Linked DNA regions of Bombyx mori. The protein of the gene in region 6 purifies or fractionates together with the protein of the main gene of each other region. This does not show direct contact. Links are inferred from orthologs where the notes say so. Each region holds a gene or a part of one and is shown on either strand. Other genes may lie near its edges. The genes, in order: small nuclear ribonucleoprotein Sm D3, interleukin enhancer binding factor, pre-mRNA-splicing factor SPF27, puff-specific protein Bx42, splicing factor 3B subunit 1, cell division cycle 5-like protein and small nuclear ribonucleoprotein sm d2.

Region 1 (4,580 bases), on a different chromosome or scaffold from region 6:
TGTGTTGAATCAAATAGAATGTCTTATGAATTCCAGACCTTTATGTCTTTTATCCGCAGATCCCAACCCCGAAATTCTCACACCCGCACATTTTTTGATGTCCACTCCTTTGCAGTATTTACCCGCGTCTGAATTGTCCGCAAATCAGATGAGTCTGACTAATCGCAAAGCGTTGTTAGATGGTTTGGTTAATTCCTATTGGAGGAAATGGAGATTAGAGTACCTGCATACGTTGCAAGTCAGACAGAAGTGGTGTACATCAGATAACCCCGTGAAGGTTGGGACAGTAGTTCTTATTCATCAAGATGACATTCCACCGCTCCGCTGGCCACTTGGAGTTATACAAGAGGTGTATCCAGGTGCCGATAACATTATACGCGTTGCTTTGGTAAAAACGAAATCTGGATTTCTTAAACGTCCAGTTGTAAAATTATATCCGCTACCGCTAGAATAAATTAGAGTACCGCATGTCATCAACCGCTTCAACTCTACTCGTAAACATTCATGATGGCTTATTATTAATTAAAATTTGTTTCTTTTCAAATAACTTCCCGCTATTTAAGCTTTATGCTTCCTATCTTAGTATCTTTATATATTTGTTGAAAGTCCTGCGAACTTTCAAGGCGGGCAGGATGGTCACGCGGATTTAGTAATGGGATGCTAATGAATTATTGGGATGGCGCCACCTTTGGAGTTTGTCAGTAACTAATTACCGCGACTACCCAAAGCGTGGTTCTACCCGATCGATCACGCTTTACCGCTAGCTGCCTAGATGGCGGCACTTGTATATTGTGTGGTGCTTGAGCTTACGAAAAGCTACGTGAGCTTCGTCACCCCCTCCCGCCGCCCGCGTGCTTCCATCGCCGACGCCCGCACGACAGTCACTGGCAAGATCTACAGGTGAGTGCAAGTTCTTTTAATTTATTGCCATTTTATTGCTGCTTCGTGTAATCATTCGCCCGCCCGCTCGCTTATGTGTATTTAATTTATATCTTTAGTTTGATTACTAGCTTTTGTTTACCGCTATATAGTTTTACCGCTCCGCTAATTATAAGTGACAAACATTTGTCACATACCGCTTAGGACGGCTATTTACACGCCTTTCTACAACCCCGCTTTATATGCTCCCGCCGCAGGAGGGCTATTTACACGCCCCCTTGCTACCCCAAGCATAAAGCCTAAGCACCTAGCTTTTTTTACAAATGAAACTAGGTCTATTAGGCTATGTACAGTGAAATGTAATTTATTTAGAAAAATGGTTGGAATTAACTAAGATTACATTTAACTTTTTGCAAAATCTCAATAGTTATACCCTGCGATGCTCTTGCATTTTCAAACCGAAAGGTAGTACTACTTTACGGCAGGAATAGGTAGGGTAGTGTTGTCTGCCTCTGTGGACTCGCAGACATCCTACCATTCCTACCACCAGTAAAGTTGATTTTCACAATGCTAAGGGAATTAAAAATCATAATGGATTTTTGGTAATATGGGTTATGTTGTCTTTGTCTGTCAATGAATGAATAAAAATGTCTATTGTCTATGCACGGAACTCGCCGCCATATTACATTAGATGTCTATGGATTTGAAGCGTCTAATTTTTTTGAAATATTCTTTCCCATTTTTATCGTAAATAATCTAAGAAATAATACTGAATTATTGTCCTTTATCGTACGTTTTTCTTAACTAAAACGTAAACATGTCTATCGGTGTGCCTATTAAAGTACTTCACGAGGCGGAAGGTCATGTAGTGACTTGTGAAACAAATACCGGTGAAGTTTATAGAGGGAAATTAATTGAAGCTGAGGATAATATGAATTGCCAAATGACTCTCGTAACAGTCACATACAGAGATGGCCGAGTTGCACAGCTCGAGAATGTGTACATCCGTGGTTCCAAGATCAGATTTTTAATATTACCGGACATGTTGAAGAACGCGCCAATGTTCAAAAGACAAGGGAATAAACCTACTGCAGGACGAGGGAAGAGTGCGATACTGCGAGCCCAAGGTATTGAACAATATAAAAATAGTGTGTATGTGATTTGTTTATCGAGCTAGGTATCCTAAATGTTCTCTCGCATCACATACGTAGTGATTGTGTTCATTATCAACAAGACAACATACGAGTGTTAATATATGAATGAGTGCTGTCTGACTTGCAGTCTAATTACATCTAGCACTGAAATTGTGAATATGCATTGTTCTTAATTTCGTTTAATTCAAAGACTTAAAAAAGAATAAACATCTTTAGCTTAGAACAACCCATTTCTTTAGGCTTGTTATAAATTAGACTTGAGTGAAGTCTATTTAACAATTACTGCACTATATAACCAAATTATTAAACGAAAATTTCTAAGTAGAAAACGTATGCAAGTATGAAAGATAAGCACATTTAATTACAATCAATAAATAGCCTTCATTAAAATTAGTACAAATGCATTGAATACATAGTGATCAATTGGGTCAAATGAGCAAAAAATAGGTAGTTTGAAGCTTTGATTTTTTAAATGTCTTGTTTGTTTATATCCTGTATAGATATTTTTTGTCACAGTTTTTTAATAGTAATTGAGAATATTTTACAATTTTTCATTCTTGAGTGCTTATATAGACATACAATGTCAAATTTGCAATTTTAAGTTTTGTAATATCAAATCAGTATTTTGTTCCAATGTTAATTGTTTCTAATCATTCAACTATATGTTATTGACAATTTTACTTTGGGTGGTTAAAGAAAATATGTGAATGATGAGACCATGTCAAGTACCTAATGCACACAATCTCACACATCTAAAGTAAAACCTATTTTACATAATGTTATGCAAACTAATAACTGTATCTATTACATTTGTGAAAACCCATTCTTGTGTATTTAAATAATTACGGCAAATTTCTGTTGCTAAACAGGAATGTGAATTGATTTGACGGGCTGGACAGTAACTACAATACATTTGAGCGATCAAATATATGTATCTCTTCATACTCATCTCAAGTATCATGCCAACCAGCATCCTTATTTTGATGTTTGTGGGCCACAGTAAATCATTAATCAAGTGGGTTGTAAGCTTACTCACACATCTAGAGGAATCAAGAAGTAAAATACAAATCTTTGAAATTTTCAGCTGCTGGTCGAGGACGAGCAGGTGGAAGAGGTGGGGGCCACCGTGGAGGCTGGCAAGGTGGGTCAGGACCATCTCGACGCTAGCGTTAAGATATTTTTTAGATAGCTTAAGTTGTACTTGTCTTATATTTCAATTGTCAAGGAATTATTTCATTATCATTCTTATATATTGATATATCTAAGTGAGAAAAATACAAATTTTGGAAATAGAACAACTGTTTGTTCAAAGATTATTATTATGTTCTCAAATGTAACAATAAGGTCCTGTTCCAGATTTTCTGTTTTTTTATTTTGGTCACCCTTCAATCTGCTTTACACATCTTAGGTCTCATGGACCATTTGATCAAATAGACACTACACACTGATGCTACCCTATGGTGACTTATTGTGACTCCCAATCAATACAATGTTTAATCTCTATGTTCTATCCTTATATCAGTCCCAATAATCTAGAAATCTTGTCCATATGATGGGTAATAGTTCAATCTTGTTTTGGCTTGAGGAAATATCTATGTGTGGTTTATGCGGGGGTGACTATTGTAATTAAATATAAAAAGTTATTATAAACTGCCTTGTACAAACCAAACTTAACCAATGGCCGAGTTTTGACAATGTTTTATCCATATAATTTTGAATTTTTTTGCACTGTAACTGGAGCCTATAGACTTTATGAAGGCCTGCACCTACCATGAGGTTTGAGATCAAAGTCCCAGTTGTACTGTTTGGGATAAATGCTGTCTTAATGGGCAAATTGGAATGCTTCGCAGCATAAAACCTGCAACAATCATGCATGTTTGTTAAATGTGTGTAACTCGGCATCTTATCCTTTAGGACACGACAACCTCTTATGCAAAATATTTTTAATTTGAATGTTTTATGTTCGAATTTAGATTAGTTACAAACAGTGTAACAAGTTTACTGAGACTGTCAGCAGATATGTGATAGGATGTGTCGTTGTGGGTGTGAATATCAAAAGATTGAAAACAAATAAAAAACAATTTGGATAATAACTAGTGTTTTTATTTATGAGACACGCAGTGTCAACTAACTATAATTATTATTAGTCAAATTCCACTGGCCACTACTGCTTCTGAGATAGTATAATAATAGAAGTCATGACGGCTTCACTGTACAGACGCACAGGACAGTGGTGTCTAACCATACAAGCTCACACTGCACATCAGCACCTCAGCACCAGCTGTTGCAGAGCTGTCCAATTTTAGTTACACATTCCCCTCCGCTTCTATTGAATCTAATACGCAATAGGAACCGTGGTGGTGGGCTGGTGGAATGCAGCTTTAAACAGATGGGTGCTGAATCAGCCACTTTGTTGAAAGATTTGTCTGTTAATCTTTTTTTTTATTTTTTTATTGCCTTTGTAGGCAGACGAGCATACGGCCCACCTGATGGTGAGTGGTTACCGTCGCCCAATACGGCCCACCTGATGGTGAGTGGTTACCGTCG
Region 2 (3,937 bases), on a different chromosome or scaffold from region 6:
AAATGTCTCTTAAACGAAATATCCTTTCACTCTTCAATATATTTTATTACACAAACGAAAACAGGCTAGTTTCACTGGTGATAATAGAACGGTTAAAAAAAAAAAAAACTAATATTTAAAAAAAAAAAAACATTAAAAAAAAAAAGACATGTCCGCTGAGTTTCTTGCTAATTCTTCTCAGGACGGAGGCTAGTTCTTGTGAATTGGCGGTAGTTCTTTTGACGTTCAACAAGTATGTACTTTCATTTATGTTGAATAAAAATTTTTTGATTTGATTTGGTGCCTAATCCTTTCTTTGTCTATGTGAATTGATTGCTCTTAGCGATAAGACTGGACTGTGATTTTGTGTATTATATGTTTCGTTTTTTTGTTATCATTTTATATTATTGTTTGTAGAAATCTTAATTGTGATAAATCATATAAACATGTATTGGTTAGCAGCAACTAGAAGAAGTGCGGCAAGTTGGGTCCTACAAGAAGGGGACAATGATGGCCGGGAAGAACGTTGCTGATATCGTAGTCATCATGAAAACTTTGCCAACGAAAGAGGCTGTCGAGGGACTCTCCAATAAGGTACACTTTTGTGTGTATATATGTTTATAGAATAGGTACCAAAGGCGTAGACTACCATAAATATGTCCTTCAATACGATATACCAATATATACAATTGTCATTGTCCTTATATCTCAAGAAAGGTAAGAACTTTCAGTGTCTGTTTGATTTCGTAACCTTAAACATGAGGTTTAATTGAAGCAAAATAACTAATTATGAAATGTACTCTGAGCAAATAAAAAAGGTTAAAATGTCTTCCGACAGTAACTCACAACTTTTTGGCTGGAACGCAAGGAGTTAAGTTGTGTGATTTGTTTTATTTTGTCTATTTAGTGTTTCTTGAGGTTTAAATGCGTAATAACGGTGGTTTATTAACTGTTTAATATCTGTGAAAGTGCACAAATGTGGGAAAATAAAACAAAGCCGCTGGACGTAACTTTTCGGGATCCTCCAAAAAGTCCACTGAAAAAATCTTAGTAAATTACCACCATTTTACTGAGATTATATATGTCATTCTATATTATCTCATCTCATTTTATTTAATTTCATCCCAGTTGATTAAGGTCTCAAATTAATCATCTTCATTTCATTTCACTCCATGATATCATTTTTCATAAAAATATGAATATAAATTAAAATAAGACATGACTTAAAGGTCTTAGTTACCAGGTGATAAAATCCCTTAAAATGACAGTAACTCATTATTAAGTAATGCTTGGATGTGCTGGTGGCATTGTTGAACTCCATAAGCCACAGTAACCGCTCACCATTAAGTGGATCTTCTGTGTGCGATGGCAATGTAAAAGCAGATTGAAGTAGTTGGTTTAATTCAGGTTAACGAGGAGGTGAACAAGCTGATGAAGGCTGAAGGCAGCGGTGCAGTGGTGAGCGCGTGTCACGAGCGCGGCTTCACTGTCACCGGGACCTCCGCAGCCGTCAGGGTCCTCATCACAACACTGCATCAGAACTTAAGGAAGATAGAGCCTGATGTTAGTATTTGTTTAATTTTTTTAATTTTTTTATTAGGTTCACACAACTTTTTTTTTTGTGCCTATCTGCGATCAGCCCTGGACTGTGAGCAGATGCGTTACGTGTGCCATCGCGTCCAAGAGGCTCCCCACCAGAATACTCTTCATTGATCACCATATGTCACCAACTCCCTGTATATCATGACGTTTCAGTCGTTTGATGTAACTGACTTTTGTCAATGCATTAGCTAGGGTATTTGGGTGGTTTTCCAGCCGAGTTCTGTACTTAGTTCCTGTCAACCTTATCTCTTCACACAACTAGATAAAATCTGCACACATAAACATTGAACTTATTTACATAAAATAATACATTATAGAATTCACCCTTTCTGGGTGTGAACACATCTTGCTTAAAAGCGTTAGATAAAAATATCGTTAACTAATATTAAAATTAAGACAAATAAACAAAAAGAAAAAAGAAAAAACTGCATATAAAAACATACAAAAAAACAATCAACAATAAAAATAAAAAGAGGGAAATTAATGTTCAATAGAAATCGAAATATATGTAGTTGGTCTACAGCTCGGTGTGGATCATGGAACTTAAATTTATTTTAAGTGAGGTTTTAAGAGAAGCATGGCAAACAAATTAATTTATATATTTTTTTTATGATTTATATACTTTCATCTTTTTAATATTTAAATATAATATATCTGTGCTTCTATAAATGAATACTGAGCATCAATAAGCATTCATGAATATCCATACTCATTTATTATGTGTTATGATCAACTTGGTTGTGAAGTTAGCAGCCCTGATTGTTAGGCCCAGGGTCGTGGGTTTGATTCCCACATTGGGCAAACATTCGTGTGAGAATAAGCTTGTTAGCTCATTGACTGTATATTTGTATATGAGTATGCTTGTCAATCTGGCACCCACAATACAGTGAATTTTAATTTGGGGTCAGATGATCACAAGTAATTTGTACCCAATTTTTTTTTTATTGCTTAGCTGAATGGACAAGCTCACAACCCACCTGGTGTTAAGTGATTACTGGAGCCCATAAACATTACGACGTAAATGCGCCACCCACCCTGAGATACAAGTTCCAAGGTCCCAAGTATAGTTACAACGGCTGCCCCACCCTTCAAACTGAAAGGCATTAATGCTTCATGGCAGAAATAGGCAGCGTGGTGGTACCTACCTGTATTATAATTTTGTGGGTTTCATTTTTATTACACGATTATACCTTCGTTGTGGAAGTCAATCGTGAACATTTGTTGAGTACGTATTAAATTAGAAAAAGTGGTACCCACCTGCGGGATTCGAACACCGTAGCATCGCTAGATACGAATGCACCGGACGTCTTATCCTTTAGGCCACGACGACTTCAGACTCCAGATGACTATGAGTAATTTGTACCCATTTATTTATTATAATTATTTATTTGTAGGTACATTTAGACTATAAAGTGATAAGCAGTCATCTAGCAGCGATAAGACACAGTCGCTGGTTTGAAGAGAACGCCCATCATTCATCAATTAAAGTGAGTTATCATGAATTATATACATACCGTATTTTCGCATTGAAAGTGTACAATTTCCAAAAATATTCGAAACTAGCTGACCCGGCAGACTTCGTAGTGCCGCAATCGATAAATAAAAGGCCTAAACTTTTGTATAAAATAAACATAAAACAAACAAAAGGAATCCATCCGACAGGGGACACATCAAAGGAAAAACAAAATTGTTATTTTTATTTAATTCCGAGCATTTTCATATTTATCTACCTTTTAAACCTTCCCTGGACTTCTACAAATAATTCAAGACCAAAATTAGCTAAATCGATCCAGCCGTTCTCGAGTTTTAGCGAGACTAACGAACAGCAATTCATTTTTATATATTATTACTAGCTGACCCGGCAAACATTGTTTTGCCATATATAAGATTTCTAGGGAATTTCTAGTGTACAAAGAAAACCTAACTTATTGTAAGTGTGTAAGGATGTGGTAAATGAGTGAAAGAGGTATGTAGTGCTGTAAACGATGAGGGAATATATAATAAAAATAACAAAACCTCATTCAACCACATAATACCTCATTATAACAAAAAAAAATGTCCAAATAAAAAAAAAAAATGTTAGGGGTGGACAACCCTAATCACTTATGGGGATGAAAAATAGATAGTATCCGATTCTCAGGCTTACTGAATATGCATAAAAAATTTCATGAGAATCGGTCAAGCGGTTTCGGAGGAGTATGAGAACGAACATTGTGACACGAGAATTTTATATATTAGATGTTTAAAGAAGTTTAAGTTAATATGCGGGTTCATTTGATATCACCAGTATTTTTTTCATAAATACTGTCAAAACAGCTTAGTTTATAATAGTTTATTCATATATTAATTTTTTTAG
Region 3 (4,394 bases), on a different chromosome or scaffold from region 6:
TGCCGCAACCTGCAATTTGTTTTTTAAATATTAAAAATAAATTATTCTCATTTATAAAAAAATATTGTGTTTTCTAGAATTAGGAAGTTTATAAAGATAATCAAGGCCGTGAAGTTTGTACTGCATTAAATTTTACAACAAATAATAATAATTCCAAATTTAAAACCTTAGTTAAATCCGTTTGTGGGGATTCGGATTGAGTTAAATCTTCTTGGATGGTCATTTTCAGTAGAATATAAACAAGACGAAAAAGAAATTTGTCTTGTGGTTTGGAAGCTTGAATTTGTTTTGTTCTACTGAAAAAACCAAATTGAATTACATTTCAATACATTGACTAATAGGTCCACGAGTTTTAATTACACTAAGTTTAATATAAAAAGCACCTAATTATTTTACAATAACAATCTTTTTCCTTCCGTGACAGTCGTACCTATTTATTTACGTTAAAAGAGTATGTAAGCAAATTAAAAGGAATATTTCAGTAGGTACAGTAGGTACGGTACCACCACCTAAGTCTGACATTATTATCATTAATTTACATTTATCAATATAACACTATTCTTTGACAATAGTGCTACTGTCCACTGTCAATATTTGTAGTAGTTCTATTTTTCCAACTGGAAAGGCAAAAGTATCATACGATACAGCCTAAGTTATCATTGTATTTTATGAAAAATGATAATATGAAGTAAAATGAAATAGAGTTGATTAATTTGAAACAATAATCAATTGGCGTGAAATCTAAGTAAAATGATGGTTATTTACTGAGACTTTAAGGAAACTGCCACCTCGCCCCGGGCAACAGTCTCATCAAAGAGGGTACACACACGCATGATTGCGTCGATGGTAGACCGGCCCTTTCTGAAGCCGTACTGTTCGGCTGACCGATTGGAACCCGTCCTGGGGATGGGGCAGATGACGCATCCACGACTTGCTCCAACAATTTTCTAGTTTCGTCCAGCAACACGATGTGGTGGTACACCACGGATGACTCCTAGAGGAGCTCCTCTTTCCTCAGAAGGATGAATCTGTCCGATTTCCGTCCGGGCTCAAGGCAGGCTTCGAAAAGCCGCACAAGCCAATCCTCCAAAGTACCGAAGGCCTGACCTGGCCACGACTCCGTAGGAGATCTAACAGCTAAGGGCAACTGCTTCGCGAATGTATCTGTAATAAAATGTCTAATTTTGTAGTAATGAAAGCTTTTTAATCACTGAATACATGTGAAATGGCACAAGTTTTAAAAAATCAAACAAACATTGGACGTGTTCACACAAATCATCCACTCCTAGACGTGCAGCGACCGTATTTATTAGATTCCTGCGACTTTCAGTAGGACGTCAGTTCACCTCGTCGAAAGTCTATCTAAGCTGCGTCGTGTGTGGCTGCCACTCGAGAATATTTTCAAAATAAGTTCGTTGATCTCTCAGTAAGCACCATTGTTTCATTATCAACTCATCTAATATCTACTCGATGTGTTCTTCTTTCATTAAATTCCATTTTATAATATAATATTAATTTAATATCAATTTATTGAATATCGAGGAATTCAAAAGATTTAGCTATATGGACTATATTTCTTTTGCCTGTTCATTTTAGGCTTAAAACTAGCTCAAACGAAGAATGTCACACAAGTGACACAACTAAAATCAAATAAACAAAGAACAGCGTTAAAACTTTAATATAAAGTGATAAATCACAGTACCCATTCGTAGTAAAGGGAGTTATAAATTTTGTAGAAAATGGCAGGAGAAGTTGTCGTAGATGCATTACCATATATAGACCAAGGATATGACGATCCTGGAGTAAGAGAAGCTGTAAGTATTATGATAACCTTACTTTTTTTAATTCTTGGACCATTTCCTTTACAACAAAGATTCATATCGCTTTAGCTTTGACATCTAGAGAAAGAAATTCAATAATCATTTTGGTATTGCTGGTCTGAACGACCACACTTCACAAATGTGGGTTATATTCTCGTCTGCTTCAAAATGCGCAGTCACCGCTGAGAGATTTATATAAAAATGTTTTTTTTTCGTTGTTTCTTGAACATGTATGCTATTTCGAAGGACTTCCTTTTTCGAAATGGAATAATTTCACCTTTAGAATAAACCGATTTGTATAGTCTTGGTTCGACCACTGCCAAAGATCAATTTGAAATTAGATTTCTGTTTGTTCCTTTTTGCATTGAGTGATACAAAACGAAGTAATTTTGGTAATATTCATCTTGGTCAGTCTAGGAAATGCAGAACTTCTAGGAATTTTTGCATACACTGTAAGCTACAAAGCACTTTTGCTTCAATTCTTTTTCAATTTTAATGTCAATTTCAAATTCAATTCAATTCACGATTTTATTATTTTGTTTCATTGCTATTGTAATAATTGATTGTGTGACTGGGAAGCTGTCTCAAAAAAGTATTATTAAAGCACTTCTTATTGATACTGCAGTATAAAATGTCCTTATAATCAAACCTACTTATAGAAGACTCCTTAAACTACCCTTAAATATGGGAATTGATTTTCAGGCATTGGCCATGGTGGAAGAAGAGTGCAGACGCTATAGACCCACAAAGAACTATCTTGAAAATGCAGGACCAGAACCAAGTTCTGCATTTGAAACTCCTGCTTTACAACGAGAGATGGAAAGAGTGCAACAGAGATTGCCGATGGAACCATTGTCTATGAAGAGGTGCATAAAACCTGCAATTTTTTTTATTTATTATTTTGTTCTTTTAATTTGCACCACCCACCTTGAGATATAGGGTCTAAGGTCTCAAGTATAGTTACAACGGCTGCCCCACCCTTCAAACCGAAACGCATTACTGCTTCACGGCAGAAATAGGCAGGATGGTGGTACCTACCCGCGCGGATTTACTAGAGGTCCTACCATCAGTAATTACGTAAATAAAAACTTGCGGGTTTGATTTTGATTCTTCTTCTTCTTCTTCTTTGTCGTTTCCTCATTACTGAGGGTCGTGACCACCTTGGTCCAGCTTTTGCACCAGCTTCCTCCAATGCTGCCTGCATTCGGCCTGCTTAATGGCTTGATTTTGATTACATGATGTAATTCCTTCACCATGGAAGTCAATCATGAACATTTGTTTAGTAGGTATTTCATTAGAAAAATTGGTACTCGCCTGGGATTCGAACACCCAGTGTATTGCTCAACACGAATGCACCGGACGTCTTATCTTTTAGGCCACGACGACTTCAATTAAGTTGATAGGTTTGTAAGCTAAGTTGGTATTTGAGTCAGCCTGGCTACTGATGCCACAGTATGAACATGATGATAATGAAGTAATAGTAAGATTGTGAGGAGATATAATATGTAGGTCTGTAACTTTTACTAAGTGGTATCTTGTGATGCTGACTGTTAATATGCCAAATCCTCTGGTCATGTTAACAAACATCACTATTGAGTGATCACGTGATGTAGTGAAGCACAGGAATGTGGTTTTAAAAAAAAAACTATTGAAATATTATGTATAATTAATTCCTCAGGTATGAACTTCCACCCCCTCCAGTCGGAAGAATGAGTGAACCAAGTGCCTGGGCCGAGTCAGTTGACAACTCTCATGCACAGCTGTCACACCAAGCTATCAGAGTTCTCAATTTAGAGTTGCAGTTAGAGTACGGTTCAGAAGCATGGAGATCATACCTCAATACACTTCAAGCATTAGTCACAAGAGCTCAAAACGAACACAACCAGTTACGGTAAGAGATGTATAACATAGAAATTATATTTAAATGGTTGTTAGTTTGACAGGGAGTCTATCTTCGATTATAGAGCCTAGGGAAGTAATTGTCTGTTGCTTTGACCCTTATTGCCTTTCATAGAAACAGTAGGTTAGAACTGCTTGTAGGATTTTATATAACTCCAAACTATTACAGTCAAACCTGGATAAGCGAGAGTTCAAGGGAGCACAATCTCATTCTCGCTTATAGAGGTTTCTCACTAACCCGAGTTTCTCTCTAATGCTCCCTCTGAATTTCATTTAGAGATTTTACGGATTCAAACGAATTCACTATTTTAAGTTTATCACTTAATGACAGCAATTGATTAACGATAAACTGAGTAAGTCTGACAAACAAGATGGTACACAGGCACACGTGTCCATTCGAAAAGAATGCCATAAAATAATAACGTTATTTAGTTCCACGAAATAGAATAGGTTCAATATTGACGAGAAAACAATACAAAAACAATGTTAAGAAGTTCCACGAAAGTTAAGAATGGGTCATAAAATAGCAGATTTTAAATTTGTAATTTGTTTTGTCATTTGTTCCTCCTAAATAATATAAATAAATAAAGCTCGACTGTCGCTTATAGAGGTATAGAATAGTAGCAGTCTCACTTACGGAGGTTCATGAGGGAAAAAATACTCTCTCTTATAGAG
Region 4 (3,937 bases), on a different chromosome or scaffold from region 6:
TCTTTTGATTAATTGCACTTTAAGTGACTTGTATGAGTGACTTAAATCATCACATAATATCTAGTGATGATGGTAAGACTATTTAAAAGTTGATAAGCAATTACAAGAATCCTTGGAACATAATATTACCTATATATTAATTAGGTATTCGGGCACCAGAAGAGGATGTGGAACAGCCCGAGATAGATGAGAGCGGTCTCAGTGTGGCGGAGAGGGACAAGCTGAGGGCTGAGAGGCACAAAGAGAGGCAACGCGAAAGAAACATGGCTCGAGCAGCACCGGACAAAAGGTGAGTGTGTTTTTCTTCATAGTTCTCGTATATGAGTAATTGAGATTGATTTAGTATTGTAGATCGGGACAGCTTGTCTCGTTATAGGAACTAGTGGTCCCGCAGTAGTCGAAATTCGACTATAATTAATTTAAGTTTGAATATTATTAAGGTTCTATTATCAAAGACTATTTATTATACTATAATCACAGATTTCGCCAAGACTACACTATAGACAAATATTAATAAATACAAACAATATTTAATCTGTTCTCAATTTGACCACAGATTATAAGCAATAAAAGTTTGACAATAAACAAATAGTATGCATGCCTGTGTGTGTCAAATACATGGTATGGTGGTGTCATATTTTTTTATTCATTTAATGTATATTTTATGCATAATTTAAAAAAATCTTAAGATTCTTTTTTTTTATAATAAAATATTTTTTTCTTACTCTATTTTTAATTGAAATTTATTAAAATTTATTTTCTATTTTTTTGGTTGGATTTTCTATAAACGCGTATTTTGTTAGTTTTTTTTTTAAACTATTATATATCGTTAATTCCAGGTCCAAATTCGCGAAAGAGCGGGAACGCGACATCTCGGAGCAGATCGCGCTGGGGCTGCCGGCCAAGACCAACCAGGGCGGCGAGGCCATGTTCGACCAGCGACTCTTCAACAACAGCAAGGGAATTGACAGCGGTAAGGCTAGAGGCCTCACAGTTTGTCTTCTTCTTTGTCTCCACCACATCCCCCCAGGTGGGGTCGGCGTAGCGAATGTTCGGTAGGCAGCGGCTTGGCTCTGCCCCTGGCATTGCTGACCTCCATGGGCGACGGTAACCACTCACCATCAGGTGGGCCGTATGCTCGTCTGCCTACAAGAGCAATAAAAAAATTTTTATTCTATTCCATTCTCCTCTATTAACCATCATCTCAACACAACCCTTTTTTTTTCTTCTTTTTATATTGCTTAGATGGGTGATCGTAACGTGGACGGTGGAATCAGTAAAGCAGTCATGCATGCCTGTTTAAAGGTTAGGACAGACGCAATGCTATTGAGACATCGACCTCATGTCTCAAGGTCGATGGTCGGCATCTAGTTGGACCACTCCTACTCATCTGGGACAAAAAAAGTCATATCAAATACGCATGTTTTTTTATTTATTACTTATGAACTAGTGAACGTTCTCACGGCTCACCTGGTGAACATGAAAAAAAAACATAGTAACGGGTATACTTTTTGCCACACGAAATTCAACCTTAAATTTATTTAAACAAGGTTACGGAGAGGACGACGCGTACAACGTGTACGACAAGCCGTGGCGGAACCAGGACAACGTCGGGGCGCACATCTACAGGCCCAGCCGGCACGCCGACCGGGACTCCTACGGGGACCTCGAGGCCGTCGCCAACACGCGCAGGTGACCCTGACCGCAGGGAAACTCTTAATTTAATATTCCCGAAAATTGTGTGCACTGAATATGTGTGGGTATATGTGCTTGGTTGGCATGCGCCACAAGCCTTTTTACGGATTTTGGGTCGGATTTAGAGTTCTGGAGGCCTCAGGGCTTAGGAGGAGCGGAGGCCTCCCTAGCCCCAAAATTTTAGTGTTAACGTCAAGTAAAACAACGAAAAAAGCAATGTCGAAGGAGAAGAAAAGATTTACTAGTGTTTACTTGTCGGAATTGGAAAGATTTTTTTTCCAAAGTCTATTGTGGGGGCCCCGGTTGCTCTCACCTAAATCCGGCCCTGAACGGATTCTAAAATGCGAAGTGTTATTTGTCTCAGTTGTGAGATTAAAATATAATAATAATCAAAAACGTAGGAAAAAAACTAATTTAAATGAAATATAAAATCAGACTGCGTTTAAAATATTTATTTAAAAAGCTAAAACAATCTTATCATTTCAGTTAGGATGGTTTTTTTATTACTCCTACTTTATTACTCTATATTTTTAGTACTCAGACAACCATGTATGTCTTGATAGCAGTGCCTTCTCCATTATTATTTTCAAATGATTCCTGCTCTCCCCGCGAATGGGACTGATTTTAGGATGCCTTGTCTATAGACAAGGCAGCTGCATACAATCTTACCCAGTTCTGCAGTGAAACATTGTGCATTCCAATGTCTATTGATATTTAACGGCCGTTTGGTGTAGTGGTAAGTGACATGGTCACTACACAAGGCGGTCGCGGGTTCGAATCCCGCCAAGGGAAGATATTTGTATGATAAATATAAATGTCTTTTCCAGGGTTATGGATGTATATTAAATATATGTACGTGTATAATAAAAATCTTACATTTATTTCCGTTATCTGGTACCTGTAGCACAAGCTCTTTACGAACTTAGCACGGGACCAGTTAACGTGGCGTGATTTTTATTAAATTTTTTTTATTGATATAACACCGGATAGACCGATAATCCAATAAAAAAATTAAAACTGGCAAATCTGTTGTATTACATAGATGTTTGAGATGGACATTGTGTAGTGTCAGTGGCATATGATATGAGATGTCATGTTTGTTGACAGATTCGTGGCGGACAAAGAGTTCGCCGGCACCAGCAGCTCCAACACCCGCTCTGGACCGGTGCAGTTTGAGAAGGATGCTCCAAGCAGAGACGAATCCGTGAGTTCCCATGGGCTTAATATGAACAGTTGTGATTGAATTAGGAAAAGGGTTTATAATGGTTACCGTGCCTGATGTTTTTATATGGGTGAAGAACAGTCTCAATATGTTGAAGTCGGGACATGTCTACTATTGTTTTTGATGATGAAGGCATTGGGACATTGGTTTGCTGTAATCTCCTATGAGTAGATAGCAATGTCCTGCCTATTTTTCCTGTGCAGTAGACCATGAGATCTCAGTAAGATAATCACTTAAATCCTAGATAAGCATTAGTGATCAACGATGATTTAATAAAAATATCAACAAACTTTATAATTACAGCAGTGGCTACCAAACTTTTTTTTGTCCACTGTCCTCTTTGAGAATAAATTATTTTATAGCGCCCCTATTTTTTCACCTACTTTAAAAACTACTAAAGCGAGAAAAACTACTACAGCGCCCACGAGGGGGCGTTATCGCACACTTTGGGAAACGATGAATTACAGTATTGCTTCAGTATAAATCCAATCCCTCTTACCAACGCTGACACACACAAACTACCAGAGTTGTTTTTAAATTAATTTTCTCAATGCTGTAGCTTATTTTTCATAGCTGTTTTTTTTAATTTTTTTTTTTATTGCTTAAATATGTGGACGAGCTCACAGCCCACCTGGCGTTAAGGTGACTGGAGCCCATAGACATCTACAACGTAAATGCGCGACCACCTTGAGATATAAGTTCTAAGGTCTCAAGTATAGTTACAACGGCTACCCCGCCCTTCAAACCGAAACGCATTACTGCTTCACTGCAGAAATGGGCAGGGTGATGGTACCTACCCGTGCGGACTCACAAGAGTTCCTACCACCATTATAAATGTATTTTGCAGTCTCGCAGCAACCAGTCGGAGGCTGACTTCGATCCGTTCGGTCTGGATCGGTTCTTGAGCGAGGCGAAGAGAGCCGACAAGTCGTCGAGGAAGCGCGACCACCACGACCGACACGACCACCACAACAAGAAGCGGCGCGACTGATCCGACGTGAGCTCTTTTTTTTTCCCTAC
Region 5 (3,937 bases), on a different chromosome or scaffold from region 6:
GTTGTAAAACAAGAGAGTAGAGATCACTATTTTCCAATGGATATACAGATGTGTGTGCATATTATGTGTATGCAACAACTGGCCATCTCTCTCGCATATCTATAAATCATATTACATTAATAGCAATAATGTTATGAAACATTAAATTGTTTTTTATTTTATTATTTGAAATCTTTTGAATTGATTTGATATTGATTTGAATAGATATTGGTTAAAATCTTTTGTTATTTGAAAATTAACCCCACCCCATACCACTGCAAAATGTTTCTAAATCAGAAACTTTAATTAAGAAATGTTTATATGTAAACTTTCTTAAAACATTTATAGGCGATAGAAACATGAAAAAATCAATAAGCACCAAAAATAGAATTACAAAAGAAAAAAAAGAGACATACTTTTAAGACGATTTTTTTCATTTCTTCATCGGGCGACTGGAACTCACGAATAAGAATTAGCATCACTTCTCGTGTGTAGTAATTCGCGTATTCTGCATCCATGAGAGGGATGAGGTATCCGATGGCTTTCAGGAATGCAGCCAGACCTTTACCACGATGCGTACGAATACCTTTCCACAGAGGTTTGAGCACGGAATCGAAGGACTCGATACCGTAGGGCGTGGCGGCCTCGGCCAGAGCCGCGCTCGCCAGCGCCGTGATCGTTCGGACCTTCTGTTGTTCGTCCACCAGACCTATTGCATAAAATGAATTATTTAAATACTGTAATTTAAGAATCTTTTTTTTCCCTACCTAAGCTGAAAGCCTTGAGAAGCTATATCAGCGTAACCTTAACTAGTAGGTAAGCTCACGGGGCTCAAACCTGACGACGTTGCTAACACGAACCCTAGCAAGAGCCGTGCTTCGCAGAATCTACCACCGGATCGGAAACGCGACCCACTGAGAAGATTCGGCGAGAAACTCAGTGGGCTGTGTCTGAGGGTTAATTTACTCGTCGAGCCCTTCGTCGCAAGCGACGGGTTCGACAAGAACGATGGCCGGTGCTTGAGGTACCTAAAAGCACCGTTAGTGGATCCGGAGGATCCGAAATGACGTGTTTAGAATCAACTAGACAACCGAGACATTAGTTATGTTTAATGTAAAACTGAGCGGCGGTACAGACGATTCTATTGTGTCCATTAATCGCTAACACTAGATCGCATCTGTTCATCAACGAAAATAAAATAGTATGTAGTTAAGAATAAAAGTTGAATGTCTTACTTAGAATACTAATGCAAAAAATAAGTATTATCTACCTATTATTACAAAATATCACCAAATATTGTGTCAACAAATACATGGCGTAACTATATCTTTGGGCTACATTATATTTATAAATCGAATAGAGGTAAATATTATTGTTAAATAATAATTTATAATAATATCAATTTTATTTTTATTTTATTGCCGTAGTAGGCAGACGAGCATACGGCCCACCTGATGTTGAGTAGTTACCGTCGCTCATAGACGTCAGCAATGCCAGGGGCAGAGCCAGGCCGCTGCCTGCCGCTTAATACTCTCCACAAGCCTCGTTTGAAGAAGGACATGTCATAGCGCTCGGGAAAAACCGGGACCTTATTACATTATTACAGTAAATGTACAAATACAAAAATATATGTTTATACTAATGATCGTCGTCAAGTCATTAATGCAAAGTGATATCCAATTATGTTAATTGATTGGTCTTTAATAATGTGTAAAGTTTCAAATTAATCAGATGTTTCTTAGTTATTAAAAATTACTTTATAGGATTACACAGGTAAAAATACGGGTTAAACTAATAGAGGCATATTAAGAATACACTGATTAGATTATATTCTATGGTTTACGGAAAAGATTGGTGTTTTTTTTTTAGTATAGTTACAACAGCTGCCCCGCCTTTCAAACCGAAACGCATTACTGGTTCACGGCAGAAATAGGCAGGGTGGTGGTACCTACCCGTCCGGACTCACAAGAGGTTCTATCACCAGGAACCACTAGGTGTTGTGGCATTCCGAAAGTTTCAGTAAATCCTTAAAATATAATTAAAATATTAATCTTACCATGTTCAATAATTTCAACAAGAGATTTCAAATGTGGCAGAATAGCACAGCCCATCAGAATAGCAATTTGTTGCACAATCTTTATTCCTGTGTGACGTGCTTGCCAGGATTTCTTAGATCTGCACACAGCTTTTAAAAATGGCAATAAAGATGGAATACCTGGAAAAAAAAAGATTTCTTTTATGGTGTTGAAGATGTGTTATGTTAACAACAGCCTATGTTAAAAATAGCTTATTCTTAGGATAGGAATATAATAATAGGGAATAGCAAGTATGCAAACTTGAACAAATTATTATAATTTCCCCATAGACTTAACCATACCACTAACTCAAATCATCATGTTCATAAGACTGTCAAAAAGATTGACAGCAAACTATAAAACAGATTAAATTACATGTGTTAGTACGGACCCTGTCAGTATTTTTTTGTTTTTAGAGGAAACACCATAGAGGCATAAGACGAGGCGAGGGACAAGAAGACGACAGTAAATATGCCCTTTAAAAAATAATTAAATATTCATATGACAAAACTTACCCAAGGCCGATGCCACTACCGCAAACGCTCGAGCGGTTGTGTTTCGTACATACTCATCTATGTTGTCTATATCAGGCCTCATTGTAGAAATCATAGTAGCCAAGCCGGCTGCTTTAGCTAAATTTGAAATGATCTCGCGACCTTCGACACGCGCATAATAATCTTCATCAATAAGCAGAGGTTCAATGACGACAAGAATCTGACAAAATTCAAATAATTTAGGATAAAGAAAAATAGGTTTGTTCTAATGTCCTTAATTACAATTAATATTTTGATGTTTTCTTTTTTTTATTATAATATTTACCTTATGTACGTAGGGTCGAACCAAGTCGTCTAATTTATACAAAATCCTGTCTATGACTTTGACCAGTAGATGTCTCTCTTGATCTTCCAGCGTAGGACTCATCAGTAATGGCAGAATTTGATTGAAAAGTGGTCCAGCACCGAATTCGCGAGCTTTATCTGTTATTTGTCGTAAGGCAGCTTTGCACATGGGTGGCGTACCGTTCTGCAACATGATAATAGCATTTTGTTTTTTAATTTTTCACTCAATATGTTTACATCAAAATCAAAATGATTATTTAACGTTTACGGTAAAAATCATCGAACCTTTATTTTCAAAAGAAGCTTCATTATTTTCCGTTCCTTAAGTTCGTCGGGAGAGAGTGTATCCTCGTCGACGTCGATGAGAAGTTTGTCGAAGTACTGGGCGTCCTCGGGCTTCATAAAGGGCAGCTGCTGGTTACCCTTGGGCTGAGGGTCGAGAAGACGCGCGGCCGCCGCGGCCGAGCCGCCCGGCTCCTCCGTCTGCATGAAAAACCCGATTGGAGTACCACCCAACGGCGTGGGCGTCGCCGTCAGCTTGCGGGCCGGCGTCCGAATCGGGACGTACCCTGGGCAACAATACTTGCTATTAGGTTTTATTTTAAATTTACAATCGTAGATAGGCAGACGAGCTCAGGGCCCAGCTAATGTTAAGCGGTGACCGGAGCTTATATGCACCACAGTGTGAATGCCGCCGCCCATCTTGAGACATGTGATCGATATCACAGTTGAGTTAGTTGAATTGTGATTATTCTACCCGACAATCGCTAACACACTTCTTTATGCCAGAATACGCTGCTGCTTGGAACTCCCCCAGCACATAAGACAACAATTGGGGGGTTAAAAACGAAAAGAAGACGATGTTGTCACTACAGGTATGGACAAATTCTCGAAGAATATTAGTAGTAAGTCGTAGTTGGTGTGTTTCATCTCAGTTCACCATGTCGCTAAACTTGAGATTTCATAACTAAATATGTATAATATGAGCATGTAAGATCCCCTAGTTTTGTGTTGGACTCCACCGTCGTGTTTATAATCAACACT
Region 6 (4,515 bases):
TGAGGAGAAATCTTGTAATGTGTGTTACTGAGACTTCAGGTAGGACAGGAGTACAAAAAATGTTTATGGTTTGTGTATAGTCTACAGAAGTTTGTGTCATATACAGAGTGTCCCAGAACTCAACATCTAGCCGAATCGGGGTGACAGGATTGATTGTAACCATGCGTTTGTTATCAGCAAATGTCCCTACACGTAAATTCAACAATTCCTGAATCACGGTCATAAGATGTCACACAGTTGATAGATGTTCTCGTATTTCTCTTGCTAAATCAAAAGAATGGAAAGCAGTCGACATCACCCCAAACACGTCATTTCGGATCCTCCCGATCCACTAACGGTGCTTTTAGGTACCTCAAGCACCGATCACCGTTCCCGTCGAACCCGTCGCTTGCGAGGAAGGGCTCGTCGAGTAAATTAACCCTCAGACACAGCCCACTGAGTTTCTCGCCGGATCTTCTCAGTGGGTTGCGTTTCCGATCCGGTGGTAGATTCTGCGAAGCACGGCTCTTGCTAGAGTTCGTGTTAGCAACGTCGTCAGATTTGAGCCCCGTGAGTTCACCTACTAGTTAAGGTTCTGCTGAAATAGCCTCGCAAGGCTATCAGCTTAGGTAGGAAAAAAAAAGCTAAATCATACTTACCTGGCGTAGGGATACCGTGATTATGCAGGCGGTTTCCACAGGGTGAGGCTGCTCCATTGCACTGCGGGTTGGTTGATTCTTGCGATTATTTTAATTTTTATAAGTTTCACTTCTACCGTGTCACACGTAATGTGTGTGACATGCACACACACATTTTTTTCTTCTGATTTTTCTCATGATGGCTTTTTTTTTCTTTTTTTTTTTGGCTTAGATGGTTGGACGAGCTCACAGCCCACCTGGTGTTAAGTGGTTACTGGAGCCCATAGACATCCACAACGTAAATGCGCCACCCACCTTGAGATACAAGTTCTAAGGTCTCGAGTATAGTTACAACGGCTGCCCAGCCCTTCAAACTGAAACGCATTACTGCTTCAGGGCAGAAATAGACAGGGCGGAGGTACCTACCCGTGCGGATTCACAAGAGGTCCTAACACCAGTAATTACGCAAATTATAATTATGCGGCTTTTATTTTTATTACACGATGTTATTCCTTCACCGTGGAAGTCAATCGTGAACATTTGTTGAGTACGTATTTCTTTAGAAAAATTGGTACCCGCCTGAGATTTGAACACCGGTGCATCGCTCAACACGAATGCACTGGACGTCTTATCCTTTAGGCGACGACGACTTCATATGAGAAAACTTGGGGCAGTTGTGTCATTATTTTTGAGTGCGGTTCTAGAAATGTTATGTAGGGTTACGGTTCCAAAGTTTAAATGAACAAAAATAACAAAAATTAACCACAATAACCGAAAAATGGTTAAAGTTTGACCAAATTTCTAGGTTTTTAATGGCCATAATTTCCAAACTGGATGGGATAGATTTTTTTTCTGATTTTTCTCATGATGGTTACAATCAATCCTGTCACCCCGTTTCGGCTTGACGTTGAGTTCTCACACACCCTGTATAGTTTAACAAATAAGATATGACCTAAAGGTCTATGTTACGTTAGGTCATAAAATAAAAAATATATATATTGAAATTTTTATTTTACCTATATCTTGTGTATGTATTGTCTATGGATTAAAGGCTATATGGGCTTAGATCCCCTTGCCTTTCCTAATAAGGAAAATTTGTACAAAAAAAAATGTCGATGGATTATAGAATTTAGATTTCATTGATTTATCCTTACATCTCAATTTATTAAATTTTCGCTAAATGGAGACGTTTTAATGAAAATTATTGCATATTTAAGTAGTAGTTATTCAAATTTAATTGATTTCATTTATTTATAAGCTGAATAAACACTATCCAACATGCCCCGGATTATGATAAAAGGTGGCGTTTGGCGCAACACCGAGGTTTGTTATTTTACTATTTTGTATTCTTTATTAATACTTTCTTATGATTCCTTAATACTAATGTTATTTGTGTGTCACTTTAGGATGAAATCCTTAAAGCGGCTGTAATGAAATATGGGAAAAATCAGTGGTCTCGTATAGCTTCGTTGCTCCATCGTAAATCTGCAAAACAATGTAAAGCCCGTTGGTACGAGTGGTTAGATCCAAGTATAAAGAAAACAGAATGGTCCCGAGAAGAGGACGAGAAGTTGTTGCACTTGGCCAAATTGATGCCAACTCAGTGGAGGACCATTGCTCCTATCATCGGACGTACTGCTGCACAATGTTTGGAAAGATACGAATATTTGTTGTAAGTAATTAATTATCTTGTTAAGTTTGAGTTCCTTGTATCTAATAAAACAGAGTAAAGTAGTTAGGTTTGGTTTCAATCACTCACATAGGTATCTGAAAAAGTTGCTTTGGTGTTAGCATCAATAATTAATCACACTAAACAAATCAGGCAACAGTAAGCAAGATAGATAGTGTAGAACTAGAGATCTGAATTGACCATCTTGTAGTTTGTGTGATGATTAAATACAATTATTTTAATATTCTAAATAGACAGATGGGGTTCATAGACATCATAATGTGAATGTGACTGCCATACAGCTTTAGAAATAATGTGGAAATCAATTGTTTTATGCAACGGCTATCTCGCTTTTCAAGTTTAAAGCATTCTTCTTTCAAGCATATTTTCCAGTTTAAAAATGCTGGATCTTCGGCAAATGGAACAGAAATGGAACAAAAACACAGGTTCACAACACAATCTGTCAGACCACAGATGCTTATCTATGAATATTATAAAATTCTGTAAACTCCTTTAATTCTCATCTAGAGACCAAGCCCAAAAGAAAGAGGAAGGTGAGGACATGGGTGATGATCCACGTAAGCTGAAGCCTGGTGAGATTGATCCTAATCCAGAAACAAAACCTGCTAGACCTGATCCAAAAGATATGGATGAAGATGGTAAGCAAATCATATTTGAAAAATCATTTAGTCTTTTAGTTATGAATTCAGTTAATAATGTGAATTTAGGTTAGAGTTCACTGTATAGTTTAGTATATTTTTGCATAATTGAAAACACAGAATGTAAAAAGAACCATTAGCTCTTAAAAATGAAGACAAGTTAGTGATAGTTATGAATTCCAAGTATGTTGATGATGCACTTCATGCTGATTTCAACAACAGCAACAAGTTTTTACATCGTCCCATAAGTGATATACTCATTTTAGCTGTATATCTTTAAGAATGTATGTGTGAACAACATCAGAAGTTTACACGTGCTGTGTTTCATTTTTGTGTCACAATGATCTTTTTCCTTCAAATTTATAAAAATGAAGACTAGATAAAAAATTATTGTTGATCACGATATAATTTTGGCTTTAAGAGTGATACTTTTACACCAGCTAGAGAGGCCATTTAGAAAATGTACACTATAGACTTTGAGGGTAAAGAACGAGTGCTGTACATGTACTTCACAGCCAAAGCTTAGAATTGTATTGTTTCATGATTTTTGATTATAATTTTATTCTTGATAACTAGAATTGGAGATGCTCTCAGAAGCTCGTGCACGTTTAGCTAACACTCAGGGTAAGAAAGCTAAAAGGAAGGCTCGTGAAAAGCAATTAGAAGAGGCCCGTCGTCTTGCTGCACTACAGAAGCGAAGGGAACTCAGTGCTGCTGGGATAGCTGTACCATTAAGGTTTAAAAACACAATAAGTTATATGTATATGAAATAGACAAAAAAAAGTAAATATTTTACATTCAATTGGTCGTGTAAAATTGAGTAACATTTTTATATTTTTTAAGATTGTCTTTGCATAGGCGGATGAACAAGCTGATAGCCTACTTGCTGTTATTATTATTATTATTTATAATAATATTATTATTAATATAATGCTTCATTGTTCCCCAGGCGTAAAAAAAAACGTGGCGTTGATTATAATGCTGAGATACCATTTGAAAAGAGACCAGCGTCTGGTTTCTATGACACTTCGACTGAAGTAGTTGATCCCATGGCTCCTGATTTCTCAAGACTCCGACAACAACACCTTGACGGTGAATTACATTCTGAGAAAGAGGAGGTTGGTTACATGTACTTAATTTATACTTAAAGTTGTTAAGTTAGGGAAGTAAGGAAGTAGGGAATATGAGATGCTGCTTCTATCTACATTTTTTTTATATTCATGTATATTTTTTCTACCTATCTATTCTGTGGTTAAAAATTATAAAGATTTTATTTTATTACAAAATTTTATTCTAATATTTTTAGAGAGAACGTCGCAAGGATAAGCAAAAGTTAAAACAACGCAAGGAAAATGATGTGCCACAAGCCATGCTACAAGGTGATGCTCCGGCAAGAAAACGCAGCAAACTTGTGCTGCCAGAGCCACAAGTTACTGATCAAGTATGTTATTTTTTAATTCCATCTATCAAAAGTAGATCTACTGTGATCATTGATAGACCAAATATCAAAAACTTTAAATAACTGTTGAAAATTAAAATATTGAAGAGAAATCAAAATTATAAGTTTTTA
Region 7 (3,504 bases), on a different chromosome or scaffold from region 6:
AGTTAACTCAAATTTGTATGCAGCTGGAACAGCAGCCCTAACGGCAAAGGAAGGCAAACGATCCCATTCCATACAAATATGACCTAACTTAGGCAAACGTTTTCAACCGCATACGTACCTACAAATTTGAGTTTACTTTACTTTATCGAGAACGTTAAAAAACTCGCACTAAGCACATGGGTTGGAATCGCGACCCACTGTGAAGACCCAACGAGAAACTCGGTGATCTCCGTCTATGGGTGAATTTGCTAGTGATCGACGAGTTCGATAAGGAGGGTAGCCGGTGATTGAGAGGCCTAAAGCACGGAGAGTGAATCCGGGGGATCTCACAAGACATGTTTCGAGCGACGGTGGCTTTGCGTTGCCGCGTCGCGTTCGGATAAGAGAACATCTCCTAATGGTTCAGCTGCTGTGGAGACTTACCGGCTCGAACGCACTGACAAACAGACAAAAATCGATTTTAAGAGTTCCTTAAACAATAAAATATACTGAAATCGCTTTCATTTATTTTCCTTTTCTTTAATACGGTAATGAAATAAAGAAATTTAATTGAATATGAAGTTCGTTAACATAAAATAAGCATGGCATATACAAAATTGCTGATTATATGATCATGACTTTGTATTTTAAAATTTCCTTAAGCGCCTTATTCACGATCCATCTTGCTGTACGTCCCGCCAAGGCCATGCACGATGCACGATGCATTTAGCGCTTTATTCACGATCCGTCACGGCTGTACGTCAGCTCAAGACCGCAGTGCTGGATGTATCAAGCGCGAACAGAATAAATCGAACGAATTAAATGAGGGTTTTAAGTTAAAATGCCAGCTGCTTTATCAAAACGCCAAAAATGGGAGTCCTTCTGATGTTGTCAGCAGCAGCAGAAGAGAGGCAAAAAATAGCAAGAGGTTTTGGATGATTTTTTTAAACGTGCAGAGTATACTCAAATAATTAATATCATTTTTTACGCACGCTATCAATCCTTGCAGCTTCCCCTAAAATGGGCCTAAAAATTGTAATACGTTTATTATTTTTGGTTTATTCATATAGTCTGCGCTTGAGACATTCCACAAAAATGTGGAACTTATAACTTTCAATAAATCTTGAAAGGGTTTCACGATCCATTTTGACGTGCAGTCTCCTTTCGAAACTCTTCGTTAACTTTAATTTCAGTATTACCACCGTCTTTTTACGATTTCATCAATGTCAGTGTCGAGTTAAAAACTGACATTTAGTGGCCATAATTGTTTGTTGAAATAATACTTTTTGGCGGGAACGCGAGGAGTGAAGTTGTGTGATTTGTTTTATTTTGTCTATTTATTTAGTGTTTCTTCAGGTTGAAATGTGTAATAACGGTGGTTTATTAACTGTGTATTATCTGTGAAAGTGTACAAATGTGGGAAAATGAAACAAAGCCGCTGGATGTAACTTCTCGGGATCCTCCAAAAAGTCCACTGAAAAGATCTCAGTAAATGACCACCATTTTACTGAGATTATATTATATTTCATCCCATATCATCTCATTTCATTTTATTTCATCCCAGTCGATTAATGTCCCAAATTAATCATTTTCATTTCACTCCATATTATCATTTTTCATAAAATTAAGAATATAAATTAAAATAAGACATGACTTACAAGTCTTAGTTACCAGGTCACAAAATTCCTTACAAAAAATTGTTGAATTAAAAAGCAGAGTCACCATAGACAAAATAAAGCGTCGACTTAGCGTGTGTACGATAGTTTTGCTGTAATTGTAATCTTTTTCACTCAATTTCTCAGTTCACAAGCCCATAAAATAATACAAAATGTAAGTATTAATATGATTTACGTAGTTTTAACAATATATTTAACATATTATCTGCTTAGCCGGTAATGGTCAACAATAACTCTAATGTTAACCTTATTATAGGACGTCAACAACTAAGCCACGCTCTGAAATGACCCTAGAAGAGCTATCTAAAATCGAAGAGGAAGAGTTTAGTACCGGACCTCTTTCCGTGCTCACGCAGTCAGTAAAGAACAACACACAAGTTCTGATAAATTGCCGTAACAATAAGAAACTCCTGGGTAGAGTGAAGGCTTTCGACCGGCATTGTAACATGGTATTGGAGAATGTTAAGGAAATGTGGACTGAGGTACCGAGAACTGGCAAAGGAAAGAAGGTAAACAGATGTTACTGTATTTCAGTTCAATTGATTCAGAAATTTGAGGTTATGTATTGGAAATAGGAACCACTCCCAAGCGCTCATGTATAAAAGTGCTACAGCTCCAACTTGAAAAGTACACAATAAGACATGATGTCGCGTATTTTAGGCCAATATTAGCGGAGATAAAATACAAACCACTGGAAATTCCCAAGATGACAATTATGTGGATATGAAACATTCTGTGTTAGCTCATTTCATTAAAACTCTTCAAATTCAAAATACGTATAACTTCTGGTTTTATTTTCAGGGCAAAGCTGTAAACAAGGACAAATTCATCTCCAAAATGTTCCTCCGCGGTGATTCTGTGATCTTAGTACTAAGGAATCCTCTTGCTACAGCTGCAGGGAAGTAATGCAGTAATTAGTTTAAGTATTAATGAATAAAATATTCAGGAAATGAATAGCTTTACTGGTTCATTCCTTAAACTGTAATAATACTTTTACAAAATTGGAAACTGTGTTAGTTCTATGATTCTGCAACTATATGTAATAAATAAACAAACTCGATATTTTAATATATTGAAATTGTATCAAGTTCACATATTGTAAGATAAAGCTAAAAACGATCAGTTATTATAATGATGCATTAAAAGAGTCTCACCAGTATTGTTGTTAATATTAGCATAAAATAACTTCATATTAGTGGCTGAACATACCAAAATTGAAAAAAAGATACTTACTTTTGGTGCAAGTAGTAACTAACAATTTTGTAAAATATAGATGCTTTAACATTTTTAAAGAAACATGGCAAAATTACAATGGTCAAGAAGTCCACAAACCTGTCAATAAGTTTATAATTTCTATAATAAACCAAAGTGTAAAAGTGTGTTTTTAATATGATTTTTTTCATAGCCCCTTATTAATTTGTGCAAATTAGATCTGATGTACATCATGGGATTAAGCTGTGCAGTCCAGTCCAATATTTTGTTAACATGTTGGTTTCATGACAGACACTATGAGTCCACAGCATACTTTCCCCTAGGGTAAAAAAATGTAGTGTTTTTTCAAAAATATTCTCAAGAAATTACTCAAAAGTAATGAGTGAGGTATGGAAACAGTGACTAAGTATTGTTTTCTGAGATATTTCAAATGGCAGACAGTGTCGTCATAGACCTAAGTAAATGGTTGTTACAGGGTGTCCACCATTCCACTGGACTAAACATGATTTCTAGTCTGGTGTTCAATGTGGTAATAAAATTAGAACTGAATATATGCAAAGGTCTTCACAATAAGGGAAGAACTTCATGGAACTTTCAAAAATGAAACTATAATAAAATTACTGTTATTACTGTCTGT

What was found.
Region 1: the proteins of cell division cycle 5-like protein (region 6) and small nuclear ribonucleoprotein Sm D3 purify together in Homo sapiens (affinity purification with mass spectrometry; 3 studies listed by BioGRID and IntAct, with this or other methods). This does not show direct contact. The link is inferred for Bombyx mori from reciprocal best matches to the Homo sapiens genes CDC5L and SNRPD3.
Region 2: the proteins of cell division cycle 5-like protein (region 6) and interleukin enhancer binding factor purify together in Homo sapiens (affinity purification with mass spectrometry; 4 studies listed by BioGRID and IntAct, with this or other methods). This does not show direct contact. The link is inferred for Bombyx mori from reciprocal best matches to the Homo sapiens genes CDC5L and ILF2.
Region 3: the proteins of cell division cycle 5-like protein (region 6) and pre-mRNA-splicing factor SPF27 purify together in Homo sapiens (co-immunoprecipitation; 8 studies listed by BioGRID and IntAct, with this or other methods). This does not show direct contact. The link is inferred for Bombyx mori from reciprocal best matches to the Homo sapiens genes CDC5L and BCAS2.
Region 4: the proteins of cell division cycle 5-like protein (region 6) and puff-specific protein Bx42 purify together in Homo sapiens (affinity purification with mass spectrometry; 5 studies listed by BioGRID and IntAct, with this or other methods). This does not show direct contact. The link is inferred for Bombyx mori from reciprocal best matches to the Homo sapiens genes CDC5L and SNW1.
Region 5: the proteins of cell division cycle 5-like protein (region 6) and splicing factor 3B subunit 1 purify together in Homo sapiens (affinity purification with mass spectrometry; 5 studies listed by BioGRID and IntAct, with this or other methods). This does not show direct contact. The link is inferred for Bombyx mori from reciprocal best matches to the Homo sapiens genes CDC5L and SF3B1.
Region 7: the proteins of cell division cycle 5-like protein (region 6) and small nuclear ribonucleoprotein sm d2 fractionate together in Homo sapiens (co-fractionation; 3 studies listed by BioGRID, with this or other methods). This does not show direct contact. The link is inferred for Bombyx mori from reciprocal best matches to the Homo sapiens genes CDC5L and SNRPD2.

What each region holds. Positions count from the first base shown.
Region 1 is NC_085122.1:328,339-332,918, reverse strand, and holds small nuclear ribonucleoprotein Sm D3, read left to right. Parts: upstream 1-1,508; 5' UTR 1,509-1,696; coding exon 1,697-2,006; intron 2,007-3,117; coding exon 3,118-3,200; 3' UTR 3,201-4,126; downstream 4,127-4,580. UniProt on the Homo sapiens protein: Plays a role in pre-mRNA splicing as a core component of the spliceosomal U1, U2, U4 and U5 small nuclear ribonucleoproteins (snRNPs), the building blocks of the spliceosome.
Region 2 is NC_085130.1:10,889,497-10,893,433, forward strand, and holds part of interleukin enhancer binding factor, read left to right. Parts: intron 1-438; coding exon 439-573; intron 574-1,386; coding exon 1,387-1,542; intron 1,543-2,975; coding exon 2,976-3,068; intron 3,069-3,937. UniProt on the Homo sapiens protein: Chromatin-interacting protein that forms a stable heterodimer with interleukin enhancer-binding factor 3/ILF3 and plays a role in several biological processes including transcription, innate immunity or cell growth.
Region 3 is NC_085118.1:940,747-945,140, reverse strand, and holds the start of pre-mRNA-splicing factor SPF27, read left to right. Parts: upstream 1-1,282; 5' UTR 1,283-1,426; intron 1,427-1,596; 5' UTR 1,597-1,739; coding exon 1,740-1,814; intron 1,815-2,522; coding exon 2,523-2,686; intron 2,687-3,498; coding exon 3,499-3,711; intron 3,712-4,394. Other genes in the region: WASH complex subunit 3, read right to left, coding at 1-9, 167-223. UniProt on the Homo sapiens protein: Required for pre-mRNA splicing as component of the activated spliceosome. Component of the PRP19-CDC5L complex that forms an integral part of the spliceosome and is required for activating pre-mRNA splicing.
Region 4 is NC_085130.1:3,035,457-3,039,393, forward strand, and holds part of puff-specific protein Bx42, read left to right. Parts: intron 1-144; coding exon 145-289; intron 290-839; coding exon 840-973; intron 974-1,550; coding exon 1,551-1,692; intron 1,693-2,802; coding exon 2,803-2,899; intron 2,900-3,764; coding exon 3,765-3,908; 3' UTR 3,909-3,914; exon of another isoform or gene 3,915-3,937. UniProt on the Homo sapiens protein: Involved in pre-mRNA splicing as component of the spliceosome. As a component of the minor spliceosome, involved in the splicing of U12-type introns in pre-mRNAs.
Region 5 is NC_085116.1:8,406,952-8,410,888, reverse strand, and holds part of splicing factor 3B subunit 1, read right to left. Parts: intron 3,463-3,937; coding exon 3,179-3,462; intron 3,078-3,178; coding exon 2,874-3,077; intron 2,769-2,873; coding exon 2,570-2,768; intron 2,195-2,569; coding exon 2,036-2,194; intron 689-2,035; coding exon 396-688; intron 1-395. UniProt on the Homo sapiens protein: Component of the 17S U2 SnRNP complex of the spliceosome, a large ribonucleoprotein complex that removes introns from transcribed pre-mRNAs.
Region 6 is NC_085115.1:11,711,646-11,716,160, forward strand, and holds the start of cell division cycle 5-like protein, read left to right. Parts: upstream 1-1,637; 5' UTR 1,638-1,895; coding exon 1,896-1,940; intron 1,941-2,023; coding exon 2,024-2,289; intron 2,290-2,814; coding exon 2,815-2,945; intron 2,946-3,521; coding exon 3,522-3,681; intron 3,682-3,894; coding exon 3,895-4,063; intron 4,064-4,251; coding exon 4,252-4,386; intron 4,387-4,515.
Region 7 is NC_085132.1:3,761,906-3,765,409, reverse strand, and holds small nuclear ribonucleoprotein sm d2, read left to right. Parts: upstream 1-1,731; 5' UTR 1,732-1,807; coding exon 1,808-1,809; intron 1,810-1,911; coding exon 1,912-2,164; intron 2,165-2,456; coding exon 2,457-2,561; 3' UTR 2,562-2,812; downstream 2,813-3,504. UniProt on the Homo sapiens protein: Plays a role in pre-mRNA splicing as a core component of the spliceosomal U1, U2, U4 and U5 small nuclear ribonucleoproteins (snRNPs), the building blocks of the spliceosome.